Linked DNA regions of Neurospora crassa OR74A. The protein of the gene in region 3 binds, or shares a complex with, the protein of the main gene of each other region. Links are inferred from orthologs where the notes say so. Each region holds a gene or a part of one and is shown on either strand. Other genes may lie near its edges. The genes, in order: NCU00040, NCU03876, NCU07380, NCU07831, NCU05889 and NCU02813.

Evidence for each region.
Region 1: NCU07380 (region 3) and NCU00040 share a complex: the UniProt entries of both Schizosaccharomyces pombe proteins name them as parts of the eukaryotic translation initiation factor 3 (eIF-3) complex. The link is inferred for Neurospora crassa OR74A from reciprocal best matches to the Schizosaccharomyces pombe genes moe1 and tif301.
Region 2: NCU07380 (region 3) and NCU03876 share a complex: the UniProt entries of both Schizosaccharomyces pombe proteins name them as parts of the eukaryotic translation initiation factor 3 (eIF-3) complex. The link is inferred for Neurospora crassa OR74A from reciprocal best matches to the Schizosaccharomyces pombe genes moe1 and sum1.
Region 4: NCU07380 (region 3) and NCU07831 share a complex: the UniProt entries of both Schizosaccharomyces pombe proteins name them as parts of the eukaryotic translation initiation factor 3 (eIF-3) complex. The link is inferred for Neurospora crassa OR74A from reciprocal best matches to the Schizosaccharomyces pombe genes moe1 and tif303.
Region 5: NCU07380 (region 3) and NCU05889 share a complex: the UniProt entries of both Schizosaccharomyces pombe proteins name them as parts of the eukaryotic translation initiation factor 3 (eIF-3) complex. The link is inferred for Neurospora crassa OR74A from reciprocal best matches to the Schizosaccharomyces pombe genes moe1 and int6.
Region 6: NCU07380 (region 3) and NCU02813 share a complex: the UniProt entries of both Schizosaccharomyces pombe proteins name them as parts of the eukaryotic translation initiation factor 3 (eIF-3) complex. The link is inferred for Neurospora crassa OR74A from reciprocal best matches to the Schizosaccharomyces pombe genes moe1 and tif313.

Annotation. Positions count from the first base shown.
Region 1 is NC_026503.1:2,375,198-2,379,464, forward strand, and holds the start of NCU00040 (eukaryotic translation initiation factor 3 110 kDa subunit), read right to left. Parts: upstream 2,801-4,267; 5' UTR 2,325-2,800; coding exon 2,322-2,324; intron 2,090-2,321; coding exon 1-2,089. UniProt on the Schizosaccharomyces pombe protein: RNA-binding component of the eukaryotic translation initiation factor 3 (eIF-3) complex, which is involved in protein synthesis of a specialized repertoire of mRNAs and, together with other initiation factors, stimulates binding of mRNA and methionyl-tRNAi to the 40S ribosome.
Region 2 is NC_026506.1:1,995,036-1,998,762, forward strand, and holds NCU03876 (eukaryotic translation initiation factor 3 subunit 2), read right to left. Parts: upstream 2,546-3,727; 5' UTR 2,284-2,545; coding exon 2,234-2,283; intron 2,107-2,233; coding exon 1,509-2,106; intron 1,377-1,508; coding exon 984-1,376; 3' UTR 501-983; downstream 1-500. Other genes in the region: crf4-1 (chromatin remodelling complex ATPase chain ISW1), read left to right, coding at 1-33; NCU03877 (C-1-tetrahydrofolate synthase), read left to right, coding at 3,589-3,727. UniProt on the Schizosaccharomyces pombe protein: Component of the eukaryotic translation initiation factor 3 (eIF-3) complex, which is involved in protein synthesis of a specialized repertoire of mRNAs and, together with other initiation factors, stimulates binding of mRNA and methionyl-tRNAi to the 40S ribosome.
Region 3 is NC_026501.1:6,147,114-6,151,114, reverse strand, and holds NCU07380 (eukaryotic translation initiation factor 3), read left to right. Parts: upstream 1-1,201; 5' UTR 1,202-1,381; coding exon 1,382-1,613; intron 1,614-1,701; coding exon 1,702-2,947; intron 2,948-3,011; coding exon 3,012-3,309; 3' UTR 3,310-3,805; downstream 3,806-4,001. Other genes in the region: NCU07379 (bZIP-type transcription factor, variant), read left to right, coding at 145-561, 661-754. UniProt on the Schizosaccharomyces pombe protein: mRNA cap-binding component of the eukaryotic translation initiation factor 3 (eIF-3) complex, which is involved in protein synthesis of a specialized repertoire of mRNAs and, together with other initiation factors, stimulates binding of mRNA and methionyl-tRNAi to the 40S ribosome.
Region 4 is NC_026503.1:1,003,716-1,007,938, forward strand, and holds the start of NCU07831 (eukaryotic translation initiation factor 3), read right to left. Parts: upstream 2,801-4,223; 5' UTR 2,494-2,800; coding exon 2,121-2,493; intron 2,047-2,120; coding exon 1,064-2,046; intron 1,006-1,063; coding exon 1-1,005. Other genes in the region: NCU07832 (pre-mRNA processing splicing factor 8), read left to right, coding at 3,853-4,223. UniProt on the Schizosaccharomyces pombe protein: Component of the eukaryotic translation initiation factor 3 (eIF-3) complex, which is involved in protein synthesis of a specialized repertoire of mRNAs and, together with other initiation factors, stimulates binding of mRNA and methionyl-tRNAi to the 40S ribosome.
Region 5 is NC_026507.1:4,174,229-4,178,373, reverse strand, and holds NCU05889 (eukaryotic translation initiation factor 3 subunit 6), read left to right. Parts: upstream 1-1,345; 5' UTR 1,346-1,686; coding exon 1,687-2,103; intron 2,104-2,175; coding exon 2,176-3,090; 3' UTR 3,091-3,863; downstream 3,864-4,145. Other genes in the region: NCU05890 (hypothetical protein), read right to left, coding at 253-699. UniProt on the Schizosaccharomyces pombe protein: Component of the eukaryotic translation initiation factor 3 (eIF-3) complex, which is involved in protein synthesis of a specialized repertoire of mRNAs and, together with other initiation factors, stimulates binding of mRNA and methionyl-tRNAi to the 40S ribosome.
Region 6 is NC_026501.1:9,034,275-9,038,470, reverse strand, and holds NCU02813 (eukaryotic translation initiation factor 3 subunit M), read right to left. Parts: upstream 2,789-4,196; 5' UTR 2,333-2,788; coding exon 1,791-2,332; intron 1,719-1,790; coding exon 956-1,718; 3' UTR 501-955; downstream 1-500. Other genes in the region: NCU02812 (uridylate kinase), read left to right, coding at 1-130. UniProt on the Schizosaccharomyces pombe protein: Component of the eukaryotic translation initiation factor 3 (eIF-3) complex, which is involved in protein synthesis of a specialized repertoire of mRNAs and, together with other initiation factors, stimulates binding of mRNA and methionyl-tRNAi to the 40S ribosome.

The DNA.
Region 1 (4,267 bases), on a different chromosome or scaffold from region 3:
TCATGCGGATCTTGTTGCTGTCAAGGGTCTCGATGTCCTCACCCTGAAGTTCCTCAAGCTTCATATCCTTGAGGAGGGCTTCAACTTCCTTCCTCTTGATTTGCTCGCGCTCGTTGGCAAGACGCTTCGCCTCGCGGAGCTTCTGTTCCTCGGCAAGACGGGCGGCCTCAGCCTGTTGGAGGGCCTGCTCCTGGAGCAGCTTCTTGCGAGCGTTCTCCTTCTCCTTCTGGGCCTGAGCCTCAGAAGCCTTATCCTTGCGCGTCTGGATGATCTCCTTGCGAGCAAGGACCTCCTGGTGCTCCTTCTCGGCTCCAGCCTTAGCACGAGCAAGGGCCTCATCACGAGCCTTGATGCGAGCCTCGTTGAAGCTAGGATCGATATAGCGGCAGGTGGTGTAAAGAGCCTCAGCGAGGCGAGTGAGCTGAGAGCGCACAATCTGGGAGGGAGTGCTCTGGAGACGCTGTACAGAGCCAGTCTCGCTCTCGGCAGAGCCGGCAGAGGAACCGGCGTGGACAGCCTTGGCGGAAGAGAAGACATCAGCATCGAAGCTAAGAACGCCAGTGGCGTGGTCCATGCGGATGGCGAGATCGCCCTTCTTGTTGCCGTTCATAATGAACTTCTCAATGGTGCCGCGAGTGACCTGGAAAGGCTCGGGGAATTGAGCCAAGCTCTCGACGAACTCAAGGTCGACAGTCTCATACACCTGCGAAAGCTGCTGGAACAGGCGGGTGAGAATGACCTGCTGAAGAGGAAGGATGTACTTCTGCATCTCGGCATCGGCGCCAATCTCCGCGAGAATGGGGGAAATCTTCTGGCAAATGGAAAGAGGATGGAAGTCGACCTCGAGGATGTTGTAAAGATCGCGAATCTGGGGCTGGGCGCGGCGGAGAAGCGACTTGGAAAGGGCATCGCGGAAGAGTCCAGCACGGGTAGGAGCCTGGGCCATGCCGAGCAGGTGGGTCAAACGAGAGTTCTTGTTCTTGCGGGCCTCATCGAAGTCCACCATGGCACCGCGAGAGCGCGAGGTGCTGATGACGGGAATGGAGAGGGCGGAGAGAATGACAAAGGTGGCAGCCCTCTGGAGGTCAGCATCGCTGCAAGCCGGGTTATCAGCCTTCTTGCTGTGGCCAGAAGCAATGAGAGCAGCAGACTGGCGCAAGAGGTTGTAGTAACGAGCCCAAGCAGCGGCGTGGAAGAGGTAGTTCTCGCCGACAAGGAAGATACGGGTGAGCTTCTCGTAGTAGTTGGCCATCATGACGTTCTTGGCGGGGCGCTTGCTGAGGCTGAGGAGGGTGTGGATATCCTCAACACTGCGGAAAGCCTCCTGCCAGAGCTCGAGCTCAACGGCGACGTTGAGCTGCTGGAAACGGGTCTCAAGGTGACGCTGAAGAGTATCGGGGTCGTTCAGGTTGATGGCGTGCATCTGGGCCGAGTACTTGGCGGCGGTCTGGACATGGTTGCGGAGAAGCTCGCAGAGGCGGCGGAACTCGGTCTTGCGGGTGTACTTGAGGCAGAAGTCGAAAGCCTGCATAGCGGTGCTCTGATAGAGAACCTCGAGGCGGGCATTGTTCCTGAGAATGTCAAGAACAGTGCGGTAAGCCTCCCAAAGGAACTTCAGCCAAGGAGTGACGATAGCGCGGTCGGTGCGGTCGCGAGACTGCTCACCGGAAACGGTAGCGAGCAGGATGGACTCGGGGGTCTCGCTGGCCTCGAGATCGTCGATGTTGGAGGTGGTGGCCTCGATGCTGGACTGGACCTCGTCGGCCTTGGCCTGGGCAGCAGTGACCTTCTCGGCGGCGAGCTCGATGAACTTCTTGAGAACCAACTCGATGGTGGCGACGTTGGTGTTCTGGGCGATGTTCTTGTACTGGTAGAGGGCGTCCTTGGCGAGCTTGCCCTTCTTCTGCTCGACGGAGAGCTCGACGAGTAGGAGCATGACGGGCTCCAGGGAGGCGATGGGGACATTGCGGGAGCGCTTCGAGGTGATGTGCTCGTGGAGCAGGGTCAGGGCGGCGGGGGCCTGGTTGACCCCGATGAGCTCGTGGGCGCGCTTGAGAACATTCTCAGGCTTTTGGTGAGGTGGGGGAGGCTGTTGATGATCAGTAATGGTCACCACGGGTCACAACACACGACGACACTTGGTGGTGAGCGGGACAGGCGGGGAGCGGGGGTGGTCGAGGGTTGAAGGGGGGGGTGGAGGGCAGGGTGGGCGGTGATGAGGTTAGGTGACGATGGAGTTGGCTTTCCAGTCAAAGGAGGGGCAGAAGATTATATGAACTCGAAGCCATAACCATAAGGCTATGGCTGTATTCCCAACTCACCATGATGGGCAACTCCTCGGCACTTGGCTAATCTGGAGGAGATATGGATAAAGTGGTGATAGGGGACGCGGCGCGCAAAGCAGCACGTAGAAATGCTGGAGACTTTGGCTGAGGCTGCGCTGTCCAGGACGATTTTTTCGCCTCGTGGAGAAGTTCAGTTCGTTGCCAGCCAAAAAAGCCCTGGCCAAGGCTAGAGGCTCGATTTTGCTGAGGAGCACTTTGTGGGCTGGGATGATGCGGGACAGTCACGTGATGCAGCTTATCGAGCACGTCGCTGCGACAACAACTCAGAGGCGTGAAGTGCAAGTTGTTGTGCGAATGGATGTTTGGTCACTTCTGTAGCAATGGGGATTGACTGAGATGCAATTATTTTCTTGATCTTAACCGTGATCTGCTGTGAGGCTATTGTGCACAATGGTAAAAAGGTTGGATTGTCGCAAAGGGCAAGTGGGATGTTCTGCCATCTTGGCGTCTGGTGCTGTCCAGTCTGGTGTACACTAGAAAGGAGCTCCATGGTGTGTGTGCACAGCGGCTTTTGTTCTTTCTTTGTGCCCGAGTTCCCAGCCCGCTGGCGACGGGCGTTCTTCTCTGCCGGGCCACGGACCCCCGCCTTGACCGATGACGGACCGTCGGCGGTCTTGCCAAGCTTTCTCACGGCTGTCATCGACGAAATTGCACTTTGAGGCTTAGTTGGAACTTGGAACAGAATCGTGGTGCGAACTTCGGTCGAGTATTGAGAAGATAATCCCCAGTAAGAACATATATCCTCCTAAAAGGCATATGATATCGCTGCTTGAACTGCTAGAGTGGCTGCAAACTCTTCTCCTGTAGCTGAATGCACACCAGCAACTGCATAGGACTTCACGGTCTGTGATTACTGTAGTGTACATACATACATACATACATACATGCAGAAACAGGAGGCTCTCCTCTGTACCCTCGTCGTCCCACCCAGAGCGTTCAAGCTCGCGTCCATCATCGGTCGGAGCAAGTGGGCACCCACCCAATGGCGCCATTCCCAATCCCGTCCGGAGATGCCTGCTGAGCCGGGGTGGTTCCGCTAGACCATCAAAGGGGGGACGATAAAGTGGGGGCGGAACCCGTCGTGTTCTGACTGCCCTGCATTTGCCATTCTTGCTGCAGCTTTCATGCACAGCAGCACCGACAGATCCAAAAAAGGTCCCGTCGGTTGGTCGGACTAGTCCTGTCCCTGCCTATCCAGCGGCGGTGGCAGCAGTCCATCTTCAACGGCCTCCATCGTGCTTTTCTTTTCCTAGATCTTGACCTCCAGTCCCGCTTCCAGAAGCTTGCAACAATGTCAATCACAATGGCACGGATGGGGCAGGACAATAGGGAGGCCGGCACCTCATCCTGAATGCGGAGCTCGTGGTGATACTTGCTATCTTGTCTTGATACTAACTCGTCTGCACCCATTCCGTCTACGGTCGTAGTTAGTGTCGAGTTAATCTAACCAAACCCTGCTAAGCGACCCCCTGGTCCGTCTCATTTGCACTTGGCCCTTTTTTTCCTCGTCGCCCTGGGTTGCTTTGGCTGCCCAGAAGAGGAGTGCAGCACCGAAAGCGACCAGCATTGCAGCAGTGCAAGTGCAGGTAAAAGCGCAGCACTGCAGCAGGCCAAGCAGGGGGAGACTGGGGCGTCCATGCCTGCTGGGGAATTGCACGGACTGCACCCGCCTACCGAACCGTTCCCTGCTGCGCTGCTACTGGTTCTACAGGCTGCGCACTGACCCCCGTCGCGGTCCGGGGCCCGCCAGTGGCACTGAAGGAATGAAGGAACTTCCATATGGGCGCCCCTTCTCTTCCCAAGACTTGCTATTAGGAATCGTCAATCGTGTGTCGGTCCTAAGCATTCCTGGCATCGTTGTCCGCAATTCCTCCCTCTCTTCAATCCTCGGGACAGTCAATGATCCATTTGCGCCTTCTCCG
Region 2 (3,727 bases), on a different chromosome or scaffold from region 3:
GGCAAGGCTGCCCCCAAGGGAAAGAAGAAGTAGACCGCCTGATGGTGGTCCAGACCAAAAATACAAGCTACGGCACATGTATTGACTTGGCTTGGTATTCGAAGCTGTAGTTGCGTTTCATATGACTGGGTTAGATTGGGTGAAGGGGCTCGGTTCACCACTGAGAAGAGTCCAGGGAGGGTTAATGCAGTTGGCTCGCGGCGTTTCCGTTGTGTCGTATTCATGTTGCGGTCTCGGTGATGGTTATCTCACCTGCCGTCATTTAGCGAGGGATTTCTCTGCCTACCTGAGGAACAAAAGATATCCTTTTGGTCAAATCCGTTCTCTGATGGATGAATAGGGCATGATGTGCGCAGTCTTGTACTTCCTTTACCCCTGTATTATTGTTTCCACTTGTGTTGGATTCTTATTGACCATAAGGGAGTGAGTAAGCAATTGGCGAAAGACCTCTACTTATAACGTCCAATCTGATATCACATGAACGAGGTTGCGCAAGATAGTAAGCAGAAGAACGACCGAATTCAACTATGACAAATGACTCTTCTGTGCTTCGATAGGGACCAAAGGTTCCTTTCGTGACAAGATGGAAATTACATATCCGCTCTCCGCGCGACTCACTTGTTCGTTCGTTTGCTTCACATCGAACCGCACCACCTCATCGCTCCAATTTTTGCTCCTTTTCACTTTTTTTTTCACCAAATATTGGGTGGAATCGCCCAAATTCTCAGATTAGGTTGCCTGAAAAAAACGCCGTTTGTGAAATGCCCATTTCCCCCAAATTGTTGGATCCCTGGACGCGCGATGTAAAATAACCCGTTTGCTCATTTCCTTCCTCCGACAAGTCGAGAGAATCCTGAACTCAATAACACGACACCCATATTTCGTCCCGCGAATCGCCTTTCCGCCCCTTTCTGCCGCCCCTCCTCGGATCCTGCTTGCTGAAAGTCCGAAAGTTTCGATCGATGTCGATAGAAGGGATCCGTTTAGGCAGAAATGGTCTGCTGTTGTTGCTGGTTGAGCTTGTTTTGCCTCTCCCTCTCGACCTCGTACATAAAGTCAAAGTAACCCTTGTCGAAGTGATGGATACGGACGTAACCGTCCTCACCACCGCTGGCGTAGCTCTTGCCGGTCGGGTCGGCGGCAACCGTGTTGAGGGGACCGAAGTGACCGCGCACACGACCAATTTCGCTCTCGAAGATCTTGTGGTAGAAACGCGCCTCGAATTTACCCTGACGCGCGGAGGTGGTGGTGACATCCATGGCAGCCTGACCACCACCGAGAATGACGAAGTCCTTCTTGCGAGTGATGGTAGCGCTGTTAAGAGGGGTGTCGGCGGGGTAGGTCTTGAGGACCTCCAGGTCCTTAGCTGTGATGAGCTGTGAAAATAATCAAGGAGTGTTAGCATGCGATTGACTGTTCATTGATTTCGGTTTTAAGGATCCGGGAAGAAGACCAAAGAAAGAAAAAAAAAAGGGGGGGGGGGGGGGTTGTGGAGCCATGTGACATACCTTGGAGGTCTTGTCCTTGGAGGCGGTAATGAAGTATGTACGGTCGTGCGACCACTGGAGATCGGTGATGGGCTGGTTGAGCTCGTGGATGGGGATGTTGTAGAGGAGGTCGCCGTTCTTGCCGTCGAACTGGGAGACGGAGCCGTCTTCGTGGCCGGCAATGATGTACTTGCTGAGATAACTCCAGCCAGCAACAGTGGCCTTGCTGTCCTCGCAAACGATAGTCATGGCCTTCTCATCGCTCTGCTCGGCGTCAACATCGAGCTTGATGTCGAGGACAACGATGGTACCCAGATGACCCATGCGCTTCTCCGTCACACCCAGAAGCTTGCTGCCATCCTCACTGAACTCAACGCGCTTGACGGCGGTAGGGAAGTCCCATGTCTTAAGAAGTCTGCCGGTCTTGATCTCCCAAAGGCGGATGGTGTTGTCGGCAGAACCAGAGGCGAGGATGGTGGATGTGGGGTCGACATCAATGGTCCAGATGGCGCCCTGGTGGCCGTGGTATGTACCGAGACGCTCGCCGTTGTGCGCGAACCAAACGCAAATCTGCTGGTCCTTGGAAACTGAGAAGAGCAAATCACCGTCGCGGTTGTACCTGTTGGGGGTAAAGGGTTGCTGTTAGAGGCTGCATCTCTATATGCCCGACATGCCAAAGCCAGAACACCAAGAGGGGTCGGGTCGGCGGGTAAGGTATGCGATGATGATGCGGAGGGAAGACGAACTTGATCTGGGTGAGGGCACGTTCGTGGCCCGAAAGAAGAATGGGCCTCATCTTGATTGTGGGTTATTAAATATGACGAGGCGTGGACGGCGGTATGGAAGTGTTATGGTCGTTAGAAGACACTGAGTGGATTCGTCGTCGAGAAATATCGCGGGGGGGGGTTGCACGACTTGGGAGGTAGGTGGGTGGATTAGTGTCTTTGTAGATGCGGTCGTCGTCGTCGGATCGGTCTTTGGTGTTCTTTCTTTGGGTGGATTTCCACTCCCAGTAATTTTTCCGCAGATTGTGCGCGATAGGCTGGCTGGCTCTGGCGGATTCTGACGGCCGCGGGGCGAACCAACACCTATCCCTGCAGATGCCAAGCTGCCCCTCTCCAGTCCCTCGTCCCAGCCAGCCGTGTGCCATCCATTGAAGCTGCTGGTTTCAGTTCGGACCGGACTCTGGACCTTGCGATGCAGCCTGCCACCTCGATCCGCCGCTCGCAGCCTGCCGGCCCGTCGACAGCCACCGATAAGAAGTTGTGGCTCAGTCTGTGACTCAGAGTTTAAGAGTCAGCTGTATTCGTCAAGCCTGTGCCGCGGCCGCAAGCCACACCAACTTCAATCTAGAACAACGACACAGACAGGACAGTGCGAGCACATCATGATCCGAGCTGCTACCTGCAGCAAGCCGAGAACTTGTAGAGTCATGGATGCAGCATCTAGACACCCACTTCAATTGCAGTTATATGAATGCCCTCTTCCGGGGGTCGCATCGAGGAGGAAAAGTTCTTCAACTCTCGGAGATTTGTAGACGGAAATAGAGGCTTTTCTAACGAGACATGGTAGGATTCTTGCAAGAATGCATGGTGAATACGTACTATTTTGAGAAGCTTGGGTTTGGGCTCTATTCTATTTAGGTTATCTCATTGGCTTCACGTTTTGTTGTCACATTTACACTGGTCATTTGCGGCACGTCTTGAGACGCTCACCTTCGGTGACTCCTCGAGAAGGGAAAGAAAGAAAAAAAAAAGAAAAAAAAATCACAAATCACGAAACCTCTATTCCCGCCAGCAAACCGGCGATCATTGGATCCTCGACATCGATCCCCCGTCGTCTACCTAGGCGGGAACCCATTGTGACTCTTCTGTGCGGCGCAGAAAACCCCTGGGTCCCGAATCCGTCTGGTCCCACCCCGTCGTGGAGGTGCCCGGGGGCGTCGAGAGAGCTTGGCCGGGCGGAAGTCTTGAGCTTCTGAATATCCCTTACCCCGAGCCTGCGTCCGCTGCTGTTCAGTGTGATGTTGTTACAGCACGCACGCAGAAAGACCACTGCACCCTTCTTCTAGCTCTACAGTACCAGTCTGCGTCGTGTAGGCATGGCCATCTCCAGCTTCATCCAGAGGGTGTCTTCCACGTCAAGGAAGTCGCGTCGAGCCGGAAGCTGTCTCACATCCCTGTCCGCACACGGGTCGCTGAACACACGGCGGCGCATTCAAGTCGAGCATACGGGACAAG
Region 3 (4,001 bases):
CAGTCGGCAGAAACAAGGGAGAAACGGAGATCCATGTTGCTCGTCTTCAATGCTGGAGGGTTCGACAACTTTCTGATACACGAGAGAAAAAGGGAAGGGAACAAAAGCAACTAACAAGTGCCCCTTGGTTCTACCTTTTTTTAGACTCGAGCGTCCATGCATGGAACACATGACATGGCTACTAGAACGAGGAACCGGCACCGAAGACAGAGCGCAGCGAGAGCCCTGCGGCCACGCACTCATGGCTTCCTGTCCCCCCGAGCCCTTCTCCGAGCTATCGCCAGAGAGCCCTTTCGGGCACACCAACACCATTCACGCTCACGCTCACGGTCACCCCCCGATGCCTACTAGCATAAGCGGTGGTGGTCAGCGCACATGGGAACTCAGCAAAGCCGACCTGGCTACGCTGCTCGACCTAAGCAAGCGGCTAGATCTCGACGGGGAGATCACTCCTGTCATGGCTTGGGGGATGATCCTCGCTCATCCGCGGCTTGCCGAGTTGCAGCTGGAGGACTTTGCGCGGTTGACGGAGGAGTTGGGGAGCAAGGTTCGGTGTTACGGGTAGGTTTTGCCTTTCAGTTGCCGAAAATGCTTTCCTTTGCCTGTGTCTGTCAAAGTGAAGCAATGGATTGCTAATTTGTTTCTTCGGCGTGGTTGTAGGTTTGGAGCTGTGATGGAAGAGTTTGAGGTTAGGGATGCGTTGGAGAATCTGTTTTCGACAAAGCCGGATGGAAGAGTGTTTGAGGATTTTTGAGAGGACGGTGCTGGTGCGGTCGCCTATAATAGCTGGCTCGACGACTGATGAGGGAGGCCTTGGCAGGTATCTTTTTGTAAACATTACCTACCCATGTTTAGACAAGCTGGAAACTAAATCAGTTATCACTGAACCGGCCTCAAAATGCCATTCAGGGCATGATGGAATCCAAGCCCTCTCGAGAGGGAAGTGTCAGAATAATACTAGCAACACCGAGCAAAGGCCAACAAAAGATGTCAAAGAAAGGTGTACCGGAAATGGTGACAACATGAGCGTTGGGCTTGCTAGGGTGAAGACGGTGAACCTACTTACCTGAAATCCAAGATACTGATTGGTCAGTTGCTCGTCGGTGAACCCCCATGCCCGCCACGGTGTAGAGGTAAGGAGCTAGGTACGGAGAGCCCCACACCACACAATTACCCCACCCTGCGAATTTCTGAGTTTTGGGGCAATTTGCTGCACGGCCCGGACAGCAGAATCCCACAGCGACACAGCCCCGGCGAATTCGAAGCAACCCCTCCGAGTCCTGGGTCCTCTTTTTATTTTTGTCTTTGCCAACTTGCGCCAGGTCCCGACTATCGATATTATTCCGATATCGTTTCATCGCCCACATACGACAGCCAAATCATGACAAACCCTACTCCTGGCCTTTCGGGCCTCGTCGACCTCATCGACTCCCTCCCCGACCTGGGTGCCACTTGGGGCCCCGCCATCACCACCGAGACCACTCTCAATGGCGTCCCCTACGCTCCCTACTCCAAGGGCGACAAGCTCGGCCGCATGGCTGACTGGACTGCCGATTCCAAGGATGGTCGCGACGGCCGTGGCGGTCGCCAGCAGTACAACAGGAACTTCCGTGGTGCGTTATCCTAGCCGGCCTCTGTCCTCTTCATGACCCTTTTGAGGTCTGGATGAGAGTGATGATGTTTACTAACTTCCCACTCCAGACCAGCAGATCTACGGCGCCGGTTCCACCTCCATCTTTGCGCCCCCCGTCGCCGAGGACGAGTCTTCCTTCTCCGTTGTCTCCAACGTCAAGGATACTGGCAAGACCCGCTTCGGTCGTGGTGCTGTCTTTACTAGAGGCCGTGGCCAACGCGGCGGTGCTGGCGCCCAGGCTGGCAGGGGTGGTGGCCGTCAGACCTTCCAGAGGACAGGTCGCGGTGGTCAGCAGTACGGTGGTGGCTACGACGGTGGCCGCGGTGGCCGCCAGAACACTGGTGCTCGCGGTCGCCGCTTCGGCTGGAAGGATTATGACAAGCCCCAGCGCAACCGTGATGCTTCGATCAACATCAAGGGTGACTGGAAGTTGATTGAGGAGATTGACTACAACCGTCTCAGCAAGCTCAACCTCGAGACCGACGAGGGTGAGGATGTCGATGACTACGGTTTCCTTTACGCCTACGACCGCTCCTACGACAAGCCCGTGGTCAAGAACGCCGAGCGCAGGCTCGCTGCCATCGACCGTGCTGCCTACAACGTCACCACTTCTTCCGACCCCGTCATCCAGGAGCTCGCCGAGAAGGACGAAGCCACCATCTTCGCCACCGACAACATCCTCTCCATGCTTATGTGCGCTCCCCGCTCCGTCGCTCCCTGGGATATCGTCATTTCCCGCCAGGGCAACAAGATCTTCTTCGACAAGCGCGACAACGCCGCTCTCGACCTTGTCACCGTCAACGAGAACGCCGCCGACGCTCCGCTCGACGCTTCCGAGGGTTCCAAGGATGGCATCAACCAGCCCCACGCCCTTGCCGAGGAGGCCACCTTCATCAACCACAACTTCGCCAACCAGGTTGTCGTCGAGAACGAGTCCGAGAAGGTCAACATGGCCCACGAGAACCCCTTCTACAACGCCTCCGAGGAGAACGTTCCCCCTGCCTCCAAGGCCTACAAGTACCGCCGCTTTGACCTCTCCACCAGCGAGGAGGAGTCCACCTTCTTGGTTGTTCGTACTGAGATCGACGCTGTTCAGAAGAATGCCACCGACGGCAAGAACCAGCTCGTTACCGTGCACGCCCTCAACGAGTGGGATAGCAAGGCCCAGGGCGCTGGCGGTGCCCTCGACTGGAGGACCAAGCTCGCATCCCAGCGTGGTGCCGTTGTCGCTACTGAGATGAAGAACAACAGCTGCAAGCTCGCCAGGTGGACTGTCCAGTCCATTCTCGCCAAGGCCGACGTCATGAAGCTTGGGTAAGTTTTGCGCCTTATGTTGATCAATTCTCAATACTAACCACTCTTTCTTTTTCCCCGATAGTTTCGTCTCCCGCGTCAACCCCAAGGTCAACGACAAGCACGTTATTCTTGGCGTCGTTGGCTGGAAGCCCAAGGACTTCGCCAATCAGATGAACCTCCAGCTCTCCAACGGCTGGGGTATTGTCCGCACCATTGCCGACATGTGCCTCAAGTCCGAGTCTGAGGACGCCAAGTTCGTCCTCGTCAAGGACCCTAACAAGAACATTCTTCGTCTGTACGAGGTCCCCGCCGGCAGCCTCGACGAGGAGGCTGAGGAGTTGGACCAGGTCGAGGAGGATGGTGAGGAGGCCGAGGAATAAAATACCTTTGGGCGTGTAGAATGGGTCATGAAATAGAAGAGGCTTTTGCTGAAAAGGAATAGAAAGCCTCTATAATGCAAACTGTGTGGGAGGGTTATGAGGATTTGGGGATCTGAGCAAGTGCGATATGCTCTCCCCTGGACCGATGGGAAGCGGAGAATAAAAGCAGTTTTATTATTCAGTTAAGGAGCGTTTTTTTGCTACTTGTGTTTTGAGATATATGGTTGGTTTCTTTCGAAGGCGTTCATCAACCGAGAATGTCACTCATGGCAGGACTTTCATATGCCGTCTCGAGAAACAAAAAGGTGGTCTGCGTTGACAAGACTGAATGGAGACATGGGCGTGGCTCGTGTAGCGTACACAGTATTTGGTTCAGATATTATGCAGCGGCTTATGATTGCGGGGAAATACCCATAGACAAAAATTTCGAAGTCGACAGACTTTGAAAGGATAGTTGATCGCTCGCGCGTCAATTCAATTGTCTTGATTCTGGCGATTCTTTGTTGAAGGGCCACTCTAGTCTCACGTGACTTCGCGACGCTTTTTGGCGTTTGTTGCTTCCCTACCAACGCAGATTTGCCCCTCGCGTTCTTTGCCGGGCCCGTTTGCTGCCCGTTTGTTGCCCGCTTGCAGATCCATCATGCATGTCTTCGCCACTGCGACTGAATAGGTACTAACCCACAACTCCGGCT
Region 4 (4,223 bases), on a different chromosome or scaffold from region 3:
CTCAACACCCTTGCGGAAGATGACGGTCTCGGTGACCTGGTCAAGAGCAGCCGCGAGCTCCTCGTGGCTGATCATCTTGCTGACGACAGCAGAGACCTTGCGAGAGTCGAGCTCAAACATGGAGCTGAGGGTAGCAATGGCGAGAGTGTCGTAGAAAGGAGCATAGGTGAAGAGGTAGGTACGGAGACCCTCCTCCTGGATCTGCTTGGCGAGCATGGTCTTGATACCCTCGGTGTTCGGCATCAAGTCCCAGATCTTGATGCTGTGAATGAAGTCGGTGGCCTTCTTCCACTCACCAGCAGCAAGGGCCTTGGAGGCCTGCATGACGTGATCCCTGGTGTTCTCCGGAGGCCCGGTAAAGATCTGGCGTTCATGGTACTCGAGCATACGGCGGTAGGTCTTGCTGATGATCCTCTTCTTGACATCGGGCGAAGAACCGGTTTGGGCGAGCAGAGGAATCTCGAGGAGCATGCTGCAGGTAAGGTAGACGCACTCAAGGAGCTCGAGGTTGATGTGCATGTGGAAGGGAAGCTGGCGCTGCTTCTCGAGGCGCTCCTGCTCAGGGGTGACCTGGCTGTAACGCTGGATCATGACGCCCTGAGCAAGAAGCTCCTTTTGACGGCCACTGCCGCAGATCTCCTGGAGGGTGTTCTGGGCGTCGTAGACGAGACCCTTGCGGAAAGCGCAAAGGCCGACCTGAACGAGGGTGCGGTTGTAGAGAATCTGGGTGGCGATGTCGAAGTTGGCGATAGTCTCCTGAAGATGGGAAGTGAGCATCAGGTCGCGAGACTTGTAGTACTCATCGTGCAGAGCCAAGAAGTAGATCTGGCAAAGCATGGCACGGGCGCGGATGATGCCCTCGCTGTTCTCGAACAGGTAGTTAGAAAGGATGTTGATGAGCTTGCCAGCATCGCCGGATTGGCTGCGGGGGGTAATTTCAGAATCGGCCTCAGCAGAAACCTGCTTCCACGCGTTCTCCTCGAGGATCTTGACGACTTGGGCGGGCTGAAAGAAGATGATTAGCAAAGACGGCTGAGTATTCCAGCATTAGCTCTATACATACCTTGTAGTAAACATGGTCCAGACGCCTCTGGATGATGCGGTTCAAGCTCTCCTGGGGAACCTCGAGGGAAGCATCCTTGCGGAGGTGCTCGTAGTAAAGAAGACCACGGAAGATGGTGTTGTAAAGAGAGCCCTCATCGGTTAGCCTGTCGATGTACTCAGAGGTGTGAGGATCGATGGCTTGGAGGGAGCGGGTGAGCTCGTCATCGAGACGCTCAATGAGCGAGACAACGCTGCCGGGAACCTTGAGGTACTTCTCACCCTCGGGGATGGTGGGGAGCTTGTCATCATCATCCCACTCCTCAGCGCCCTCAACAACAACATGGTCCTTCTCCTTCTCGAGGATCTCCAAGAGAGAGGCAAGGTCACGCTCAGCGGCCTTCCACTGGTCCAAAGGCATCTGGGCGGCGCCACCAGCACCAAGATCGAAGCGGGCAGAAATAAGGGTCTGGAGGACACGGATCTTCTGGTAAGGGGTAATGGGGACGACCTTGTTGAGGGTCTCCATAACCTTGATCTGCTCGAGGCGGTCGGTGTTCTTCTTGCCGCGAGACTCGATAATGGCGCGGAGGTGCTTGAGGATGCTCTCGGGGGTGTACTGAACAACCTTGCCGCGCGAATCGACCGTAGAGAAGCCCTTGTCGTCCTCTTCCTGCTGCTCAGCACTGACGACGGGAGCCTCGAACCGGACCTTGGAAACAACCTTGGGCGCGGCAACCTCATCATCCGACTCCATGAAAGCGTCCGCATCCTTCCTGTAGGCATCGATCTGGGTCTGGTACTCCTTATTGTTCTTGCGGATGCGCTGCTTGACGGCGTTGAGACCACGGGCATTTGTCGCGTTCATCTTCTTGGGAGTGACCTTTTGCTTGGCGAGAGTCTCGTTCATGAAGTCCTCAAGATCGGCAATGGCCTTGATGTAGGACTTGGGCGCCTTGCTGCCATCTTGGAGCTTGACGACCTGACGGTTGAGCTTGTCGAATTCTAAAGCGGGGAGGGGAGTAAGTATCGGTGCAGGACATATCGAGGGTGTATGCATGCATGAAAGATATACGAACCGTTGGCGATAAGACTCCAGTCGTTGATCTTCTGGCCGTTCTGGATCTGGCTGATGGTGGACTCGAGTTCGTCGAAGCGCTTGTCCTTGGCGCTCTTGACCTTGGTGGTGGCTTCATCGTCGCTCTGCTCTTCCTCCTCCTCCTCGGACTCGTCGTCGCTCTGCAAGAAACGGGAGGCACCCTTCTTCTTGGTTCCTTCTTCCTCGTCGCTGCTGGACTCCTCGTCGCTCTCCTCCTCGTCAGACTCCTCCTCAGACGAAGACTCGTCCTCGGCCTGAACCTTCTCCTCCTCCTCCTCCGAAGTGTAGACCTCCTCCTCCTCGGAGCTGCTGTCGGTGGAGCTGTCGTCACCGCCGCGGAAGAAACGAGACATGGTTGCGGTCTCTTTCGATAGACTCGGAATAAATATGCGGGTTCCGGGGGTATGGGCGCGATGCAGAAGTCCGGGTTACCGGTATGGGTACTTGGAGTGGTGGACGGAAGTGGTGATGGTCCGGATGGTTGGCAAAGCAAAACCCGGCTGCGGCGAGGCGGACAGAGGGGTCAAAGAATTAATTTTCACTGAAAGGCCGTTTTGGTGGGGGCGATTTGGGGCTTAGCGAATCGAGCGGAGCTGTTTGGGCCTCGAGCGCTGTAATGATTGGGTATGACTTAATCCGAGCAAGGGGTGTGGGGGGAGAGGATACTTGCTCCGCGGGGGGGAGGCTGAACTTATGAGCTGAATGTACCTGCTTCCGCTTGGAGATCGCAGGACGGGATTCCTAGAAGATGAAGATAAGGTCTGAACCTTGCAGATGTTCGCATGAGGGATCTGTCAGAGGAACGGGTTTTTGTGTATACTTTGGCGAGCGGAGCGAGGGAACAATATCAAGCATTGCTTTGTCAGGCCTTCACTATGAGATTCAACACCTGTCGTCTGGGTACTTGGGCGCAAACAGCCAGCCAGCTGATGCCCCACCTTCAATGTATCAGCTACCTGAACTGATAATGTATCACTATACTCGGTTACATGCATCTGAGACGTGCTGTGAGCTTGTCAAGCCAGATCTACCACGTAACGGGGATTGCGTATCGAAAGTTACAGTACGTAACAGGAGACGTTTCGCCACGAAGTCGAGAAGTGACAGCCCAGCCTGCCCAGTCGCTGCAGGCAACCAACCCCAGGCCCTCTTTCACTAACTGGAGTGGCGGGGACGCTACCGGGCTGCAGCTGCCAACAAGCACCTGCACAGCGAAGAATCCCGCTGCCAGGTTTCCCGTTTTGCGCGCCAGGACCTGGACCGCCCGCCCTGACCTCTGAACTTTATCGACCGCCCACGCAGCTGTCGCGAGGCTGTTCAAGTTTTTCGTAACGAGGCCAACCTGCCAACGTCAACGCCAGCATCCTGGCGCCACCAAACCACACTTTCACGAATACAACATCCACCTCTCCATTCTCAGCTTGATCGACCATCGCCGCGATTTGGTGCGAGGTCGACCTACGCCCATTTCCATCTAAAACCAATGGGAATCTAATATTTGCCAGTCCTTTTTTCTCTTCCTCAGCGAGACAGGCCTTGGAACGACGCACGCGGACTGCAAACCGCCATCGCGCGGACAGGCGACTTCACGGTATCCAGCCTTCTATCCATCTCGTCGCCAACGCCGACTGGTACACGCTTCTGACGAAGACGATTACAACGAAACAACCACATAAACGTCAACAAAGCTTCATCAAGCAGAAATCGAAAAAATGTCCTATCCGCCACCACCACCTCCTCCCCCCGGCTGGGGCGCTCCTCCGCCGCCATCAGCACCTCCGCCGCCGCCGCCTCCGTCCTCTCTCCCACCTCCTCCTGCCCTCCCAGCACCGCCGCCGCCTGGGTTCTTTCCACCAACCGACCCTCATGTTGCCAAGTTCGCCCAGAAGAAGAAGGAATGGCTTCGCATGCAGAGAAATCGCTTCGGCGAGAAGAGGAAGGGCGGATTTGTTGAGACGGAAAAGGCCGACATGCCACCAGAGCACTTGCGGAAGATCGTCAAGGATATTGGGGATGTTTCGCAGAAAAAGTACACCAGTGACAAGCGCAGCTATCTTGGGGCGCTCAAGTTCATGCCCCATGC
Region 5 (4,145 bases), on a different chromosome or scaffold from region 3:
ACCTGTCCTTTCTGCTGCAGGTTTAACCCTCTTCTTGTTTTCTTATCGCCCTATTCTTTTCTCCCATCTCAACCCGTTGTCCATTGTCCCATGATCTTCGAACCTCTACCTCTTTGCCTCTCTTTCCGAACTTCCAACTCTTTTCCGATTTCTCTTCCATTCATTCCCTCACTCTTGATGTCATACTGCCTCACCCTTCTTGCAAATAGCAGCAAACCGGCAATGCAAAAAAACCAAACAAAAAAAACTTACATCAACCTCCAAATGTCCTGTCGGCACCTTCACCCGCACCTCCTTCACCTCCAGCCCCAAGAACTGCGCAAGATCCCTGCGCAGAGCCTGGCCATCACCTTGCACCTTCTTGATCTGGGTGAGCTTCTTGTTACCACCGCGCTTGGCGAGGTGGTAGACGGGCAGACGCTGGGTCCAGGCGCGGCCTACTAGGTAGGGCTTCGCAACGGGTTTCGTGGATTCTGTTGGCGCGGCACCGGTCTGGGTCTGGATAGGGGTGGTGGGTTGTGTGGTGGGCTGCTGCTGCTGCTGCTGCTGGAGTGGTGTCGTTGTTGTGGCTGTTGTTGTTGGTTGCGATGCGGCGGCAGCGGCGGAGTAGAATCGGGACTGGAAGGCGGCGCGGACGGTGAGGGGCGTCGCGGGCTGGACGATGGCCCGGGAGAGGCCGAAGAAGGTCGAGCGGAACATGGTTGTGGTGTTGTGTTGTGTCGTGTGGTGGTGTGGTGGTGGTGGTAAAGACAGAAAGAGGTCGAATCGATCGAGCTGGGCTCGGTTGGTCGCAACGGGATCTGATAGGTAGGTAGGTAGGTAGGCTTGGCTGGGATCTGGAGTTAGGTCAGACTGGACCTGCGCTGCGGCCAAGAGGTCCCCGTTTCGGATGAGGCGCGTTCAATTGCTGGCTCGCTGGAGTCGGATCGGTCCCGCGTCCCGTGCCCTGGGCCGTGTTCCTCTCGGCGCGGCGGGTCCGTCGTCGGGTTCTGGAAATTTGGTCGGTACTCGGCAGAATTATTGACCGCCCGGGCGTCCCCGCGTAGGTACCCGCGCAGGTGCTCTGCCCCCCGTCCGGCGGGATGTGCGCCGAGCGAGAGGGACGAAAGCCTGAAACTGTGTGCCCAGGGCGTTCGCTGAAGCTCCAGGCCTTGGGGTGCCTGATCTGGGCTCTACACTTACCCCTCCCGTGGTGCCTAGACGGAAGTGGAAGTGGAAGTGGCACCGCATTCAGCTGCCGTGCAATTGTTGTGCGACAGAGGCAGCATTGAACCGAATTCGATGGCCCGTGCTTTTTGTCACTGGTCAGTGGTGTCAAGCGCATTTTCCCAATTTTCGACCCCACCAAAGATTGACGACGGGCCACCACAACTGGACGGGGTCACAAAGAGAAATTTGGCGGATCGCATTTCCAAAGCGCCTGGCAACTGAACGAACGAAGCTGGAGACCGGACACGCCCTTTCCATCCATATTCCTCTTCCTTTCACTTCTGATAGTAGTCGACCGACCCTCCCCCGGCCCTCTATCTTATCCCACCCACCGTAATACCCCCCCTCTCTCCTCTCCAGGCCTCGACTCGACCCGATTCCGACTTGACCTTGTCGTCGTCCACTCAGTGTCGTCTGTCATCACCACCATCCAACATCATCACCACCACCATAGTCACAGACACACAAATCCAAAACATGGCTTCCACATCCCCCGCCACCACCAACGGCGACGTTGCGCCCGCCAACTATGACCTCGTCCTCAAGCTCGCTCCCCATCTCGACCGCCACATGATCTTCCCTCTCCTCGAGTTCAACGCCGGCCGCCTTAAGGAAGATGAGACCGACAAGGCTCGCGAGATCCTCGCCGCCAAGTACGCCCTCCTCAAGAAGACCAACATGACCGACTACGTCGCCAACCTCTACTGCGAGCTCGAGGGTCTTAAGGAGCCCCCCGCCGAGTACGCCGAGCGCCGCCAAAAGGTCTTCCACCAGCTCGAAAAGTACGAGCAGGAGACTGCCAAGATCACCGAGCTGCTGCAGCGCGACGATGTCGTTAACAACCTCCGCTCCGACAAGGTGGCCAACTTGGAGTTCTTGAAGAAGGAGCACGACGTACGTCCTACTTTTTGTTTCCATCGGCACATGTGGCTTGTAGTACATGGCTAACCCCCATATCCTGTGCAGGTCACCATCGACATGGTCAACGCCCTCTACGACTTTGGCCAGCTCCAGTACTCGTGCGGCAACTACGCCGACGCCTCGGAGCTCCTCTACCGCTTCCGCGTCCTCTCCACCGACAACGACAAGGTCTCGTACGCCACATGGGGTCGTCTCGCCTGCGAGATCCTCACCATGAACTGGGAGTCCGCCATGGAGGAGCTGCAAAAGGTGCGCGAGAGCATCGACACCAGGCTCGCTAACAACCCCCTTGCTCAGCTGCAGCACCGCACCGAGCTCGTCCACTGGGCCCTCTTCCCCCTCTTCAACTACGACAAGGCCCGTGAGCCCCTCCTCGACCTCTTCTTCAACGCCGGCTTCATCAACACCATCCAGGCCAACTCGCCCTGGATCCTCCGCTATCTCACCGTCGCCGTCATCACCAACCGCGGCCGCGCTAAGAACGCCGGTGTCCACCAGAAGCAGATGAAGGACGTTGTTCGCATCGTCAAGCAGGAGGCCTACGAGTACCAGGACCCCATCACCCGCTTCGTCCACGCCTTGTGCATCGACTTTGACTTTGAGGAGGCTCAGCAACAGCTCGTGCTTGCCGAGGAGGTCCTCAGGAGCGACTTCTTCTTGCTCGCCCACGCCGATGACTTTGTCGACTCGGCCCGCCACCTCATCTTCGAGAGCTACTGCAAGATCCACGCCCGCATTTCGCTCAAGGACCTCAGCGCCCGCCTCGGTCTTAATAACGACGACGCCGAGAAGTGGATTGTCAACCTCATTCGCGACACCCGCCTCGACGCCAAGATCGACTACAAGGAGGGTACCGTTGTCATGAACCACCCCCCGAGCTCCGTGTATCAGCAGGTCATTGAGCGCACCAAGGGCGGTTTCTTCAGGACGCAGGTTTTGACTGCTGCTGTTGCCAGATAGGCGTGTGACAATAGCGGCAGTGGAGAACTGACTGATGGTGGCGGCAGAAGTATACCCGGGTCGACATGTCAGGAAAGCAAGGGCGATAAGAGGATTGTGAAGGAATGATTATGGCATGGGCTCGATCGCAACGCATGAAAGCGGCGACTGATTTCTCGTCGAATGTGAGACCAAGATTATCGCCGACGATTGGAACGCGGCGAGCATCAAGTGGCCAGGCGAACTCAGTCGCTTCATGGCAGGCGAACTGCTTCAGCGTATGGGCTTCAACTTGACCAGGACGAGTCTCGGATAGATCCCCTCCCAGCATCTTTTATGCCATTGCAATGAGAGGATTTGAAAGTGCGAATCCAAAAAGGGTTAGCGATGCATTTCGAAGAATAGACCTTTTTTTTCTTCTTTCGTTCTCATCTGCCTCGATAGTCTTCTCTATCTCTCAGCGTTTGGCAATTGTCGCTATTTGTCGTGTGGGCATGGGCTCGGGCGGTAGAGGCAGCAAGGGAATTAGGACAATGGAAGGAGGCCTTTTACGTCATGACAACAACCGGTGTAATCATACCTCTTTAGTGTGTGTGTTTTTTCTTTTTACAGGCTTCTCATCAGGCGTATCAAAATGGTTATGGCTCATTGCTTTTAGCTGGCTTATGAGTCAGGTTGCCTTTCCCATCAGTAACATTGTTCATCGCATCATGGTAACCTCCACTTGGTCCCTTCTTTATAGCAACTGAGCTGGGGTGATCAACCAGGAAAAACTGTGGCAACCAATTATTGAGGTATGCTCCTTCCCTTCCTCCATATCTGCGTGGTATCGTCCATCTCCCGCCTCTTCCCTTTTCACTCTTCTACCAGGGGCATTCTTATTTTCGTCCTTTCCAGCCTCCAATCAACATACAATATCCAAGCCACCAAGTTGGGCAGTTGTATTTGTCGCAGAACGACCAATGGCTGCCCGATACAGTTTCCAGCTAGGTAGGTTCATACGGCACAGGCTGACAGGCTGCAGCTGTATTGATATGGCGTTACCCCCGCTTCGAGTCCTTGTCTCCTTGAATTTT
Region 6 (4,196 bases), about 2.9 Mb from region 3:
GAGCATGCCGGTTGTGGATCACTATGAGAGGGAAGGAAAGGTGGTCAAGGTGGATTCGACGCCGGGGCCGGAGAAGGTGTATGAGGAGACGAGAAAGCAGCTGAGGAGGGTGTTTGGGGATAAGTTTTAGTTAGTGTAGGGGGGGGGGGGGGATTGACTTGACTTGTCTTACTCCGGGGATGGGATGGGGGGTTGAGGTAAACTTGGTTTCTAGGTACTAATTCTGAGATGGGGTTGGCCGTTCCATTAGATAAAAACTTTTAAAATACTATACACTACTACAGATTTATTGGAAAGGGACGGAGCGATGGAGTCGCGGAGGCGGTTCGTGGATGGATGGGGATGGTTTTCTCCCGTTTGGAAATTGAACTTGCTCTGTCTTTTTCCAGATGTCGAGATGGCTTGGTATTGCGTTTATACTATTCATCGTTGGGAAGCCTGAGCATGATGATTCATTGTTCCCTTTGCTGCTGGTGGTCATAGACCTTGTCTCAAAAAGCATTGATATTACGCTTCCGTTGCCTTGTATATCCTGGGTATCATGATCTATACTCCACCTTTCTGGATTTGCCCTCACGCATCATATCATCCATCACTGATGTATAAATGGAGAGAGAAAACCTGATGATTGCTGGATATCTAAAGCTGCCATTCCTCGGAATGATACAACAACAACAAAAATGCAAATCCGCCAAAAAGTGTAGCAGCTCTACCTTGAAAATAGTGTTCCGTATTTTTTTGGGGCTCACAACTCCTTGATAGATAACAACAACAACCCGTTTTGATGTAGAATTCCTTTCCCATTCGAATGAACTGAACTGAACTGATGACCGAGCGGGATGATACAGGGGCAAGACATCGCTCTTTTTTCTTTTTGAAAGGTCCCCCCATATCTCTATGCTACTAACAACAACAACCAATTATTGCAGCAAAACATCCTGTTGGCAACCCCCCTTCAGTCATCATCATCCGTGCGTTGCCTCGTCTGTCTGGCACCGCCGGTACGTCCTCCCCGGTTGCCGCCGCGCTGCTCCGACTCGCCAAGACCGGCGTTGGCCAGCTTGCGCTCGAGCTCCTGCTGCTCACGCTCACGCTGGGCCTCGACATCGGTCTGGGCCTTGCGCACGACGCCGACGAGCCTATCGACGACCGTCTTGAACTGGTCGACGCGGGTGCCGAGCTCGCGCCACTGCTTCTCGCCAAAGACGCGGTAGGTGGTGCGGTGAACCAAGAACACCTTTTGCTTCTGTGACAGGCGGCCCTCGACCAGCTTGGAGCGGATCACGTCAATGGTCCACATCTCGACGTCCTCGTCGGGGATTTGGAGGGCCTTGGCGATGCTGGCGTAGGGGATCTCGCGGTTCGGGGTGCTGGCGGCGAGCGACGCAAAGGTGAGCAGGCGCATCTTGCGCTGCAGCTTCTCGTGGTCGAGCTTCTCGTTCTCGATCCATCCCTGGTGCTCGTCCCTAAAGTCGTTGTAGTCCTCGAGGTCCTGCTCGGTGAAGATGTCGAGGAGCTGCGAGTAGACGGGGTGCGAGTCGCTCAGGGCGTGGACCGAGGGGAGCGAGCGCAGGTCGTTGAAGTCGAAGCGGGTGGGCGACGAGATGGCCATGCGGAGGGCGCGGAGGGAGAGCTTCTGGGCCTCGTCGGAGGCGACCTCGTCCTGGTTGTCGCGGTCGAAAGTGGCCAGAGCCTTGAGGAGGTAGAAGTAGGACTCCCTGCAGACCAAAGGTTAGCATGAAGCCGTAAAGGTGCACAATGCATGATGCTATAAAAGGTAAAATACTCACTCCTGATCACCGCCGTCGTTGGCGGCATCGGAAACCTCGACGTAGAGCTTGCGCTGGCTCTCCGAGTCGGACTTCCATTCCTGGAGCCAGCCCTCGACGTTCTTTAACCTGGGCTTGAGGAGGTCGAACTGGCTGTTTTGCCTGATGAAGCGGACGATCTGCATAAAGACATTGAAGCGCAGCGGGTTGGACTTGTCGAGGAGGTTGAAGATGGTGGTGAGCGCATTGGAGGCCAGGGTGAAGCCGTGGGTGGGAGACGAGGTGATGGGCTTGAGAAGGTTGGCGCACAGGGTGGGCAGGTACTTCTTGGGCTCCTCGGACTGGAGGACGAGGTGGATGAGGAGGTTGTAGGCGGGGGTGAAGTCCTTCTCGGGGGCGGCGTTGAGGGAGTGGGAGGCCTTGACGATGAGGTCAAGGGCATCCTCGCGCTTGTCCTGCTCGAGGAGAGGCTGGACCTGCTCGCCGACCTGGACGAAGTCGGCCATCTCCTGCGCCAGCTCGGCGAAGGTGCCGTCGACGAAGATCAACTGGGGGGTAGCCATGTTGATGGGTGTTGACGGTGTGTGTGTGTGTGCGTGTGTGGTTGTTTGACGACGGGGCTATCGAACTATTCCCACTTGGACCTCAAGGCTGGAGTGAGGTCGGGTTGAGGCGAGACACACGGCGGGACGGAGTCAGGGACGGACGGGGGACACGGCGACGGGGAAAATATGGCCGGGGACAATCTGATAGTATGTCCTGGTGCTAAAGGTCGACACTGGCCGGAAACGATACGGATATCCTGTCAGACGTGGGAGGGAGGGGCGGGCCCCAAAGGAAGTTTTCTTAGTGGCAGGGCTCCGCTCTTTCTTTTTCTTTGCACAGTTCCTGGGCCTCGACTCGCTGAGTGGTGTGGTGTCCCTCTCTCATCCCATGGACGACAGAGACCTGACCGGACCCTCGACCCAATTTCTCAAAGCAAAAAAATGCCCCGCATTCCAATGCCAAGCCCACCGCCTATTTTTGCCCTGTGCTGAAGAAGAGCTGTTCTGTGTGCTCCAGCCAGTCACGTGCAGGAGCTGTGTCGATGGTCAGGGTTATTGCAGTCATCTGCTTGTGACATAGAAAACCCTGACCCATGGGGTGGTCCGTCCCAGCGAGGTCTTTGACAATGTCAAGCTCCCGGGCTTCAGTCCCTTTTCCTTTGCTTGTCACCGTGCGCTTGACATTGTCCCCAGCTTCTCCAAATCCGATCTTCTTAAAGTCACATTCCCATCCATGATTCTCTTACATGGATATCAACAAACGCACCTGATGAATAATCGAAGGATTCGAACTTGACAAATCCATTATCCAAGTCGAGATTTCTGACCACTCGAACAATATGATTTCCTATATGATGTGATGCACTCGATCGAGGTTCGCAGTTACTTGCCGTGGGCTGTGGAGATATCAACCACGGGAATGACGACACACCTTGATTGGAGTATTCGGCTGCATCAAAACAAAACTATTGAACTCGCTACATCATCGAATATTTTCTTTTCGACTTTTCACCATCGTATCCATCAGGACAAAAATGGGACTCTAGCCAGTTGCAACAGTCACCTTTGTAAGCTAGGTCACCTAAAACACAAACAGAAGCGGGAAGCAAAGAGGGGGTCACGGGGCATCCGAATCGGATATCCAGGCAGACACTTAAAAGTGTGGTGGTGACCCGGGCAACGGCCACCTTCCATTACAGCCTGAGGATATTGTATCAGCTCCTTCCCTTTTCCACTGACGTGATGGGAGTCTCAAAATAACAAATGACCGGCACGCCTGACAGCCCAGAAGGATGGTGAAGAGTCACAATGAACCCACAATAGATTCCCGAGAAAAAGAGTGATGACCAACCAGCCCTACGCTACTATGTATGCAATGCACATGGTGACATTCAACCAGGGCTGAGGGTGTGCACCGCCGAAAGAAAGTCAACAAGTGTACCTAGCGTACAGAGACAGCAACAGTAAACAAAGCCCCGTGGGGGTATAACTCAGATTGTATATACACGTGGATATTTCATAGAGCACTGAATAAAATCAATGTTGTCAACTGGATGCTGTTTCCCTTTCTGTGGATTTGTTGACTTAGACGCGCCAAAAGAGTGGAGTTATGGCGAGGCGCGGCGTGATTTCCAAGCGAAAAAGTGGAAGAAAGTGAGGAAAAGGGAAGCTTCCACTTGGGGCGCGGTCATCAAGGCCTAGGTTGTAAGGTAATGTACACTGTGAGTCCCTGACGTTGTATGGTTGCTTTCTGGTGGAGGCCCCCCCCCCCCCCAATACCTTAGCACTGCCCGCGGCCTATCCCAGTCCCTCGCGAACTGCACAGTAGCATCATTCAGTTCACTCAGTCAGTCATTCTCCCCAGCCCGGCGCCGTCACCACC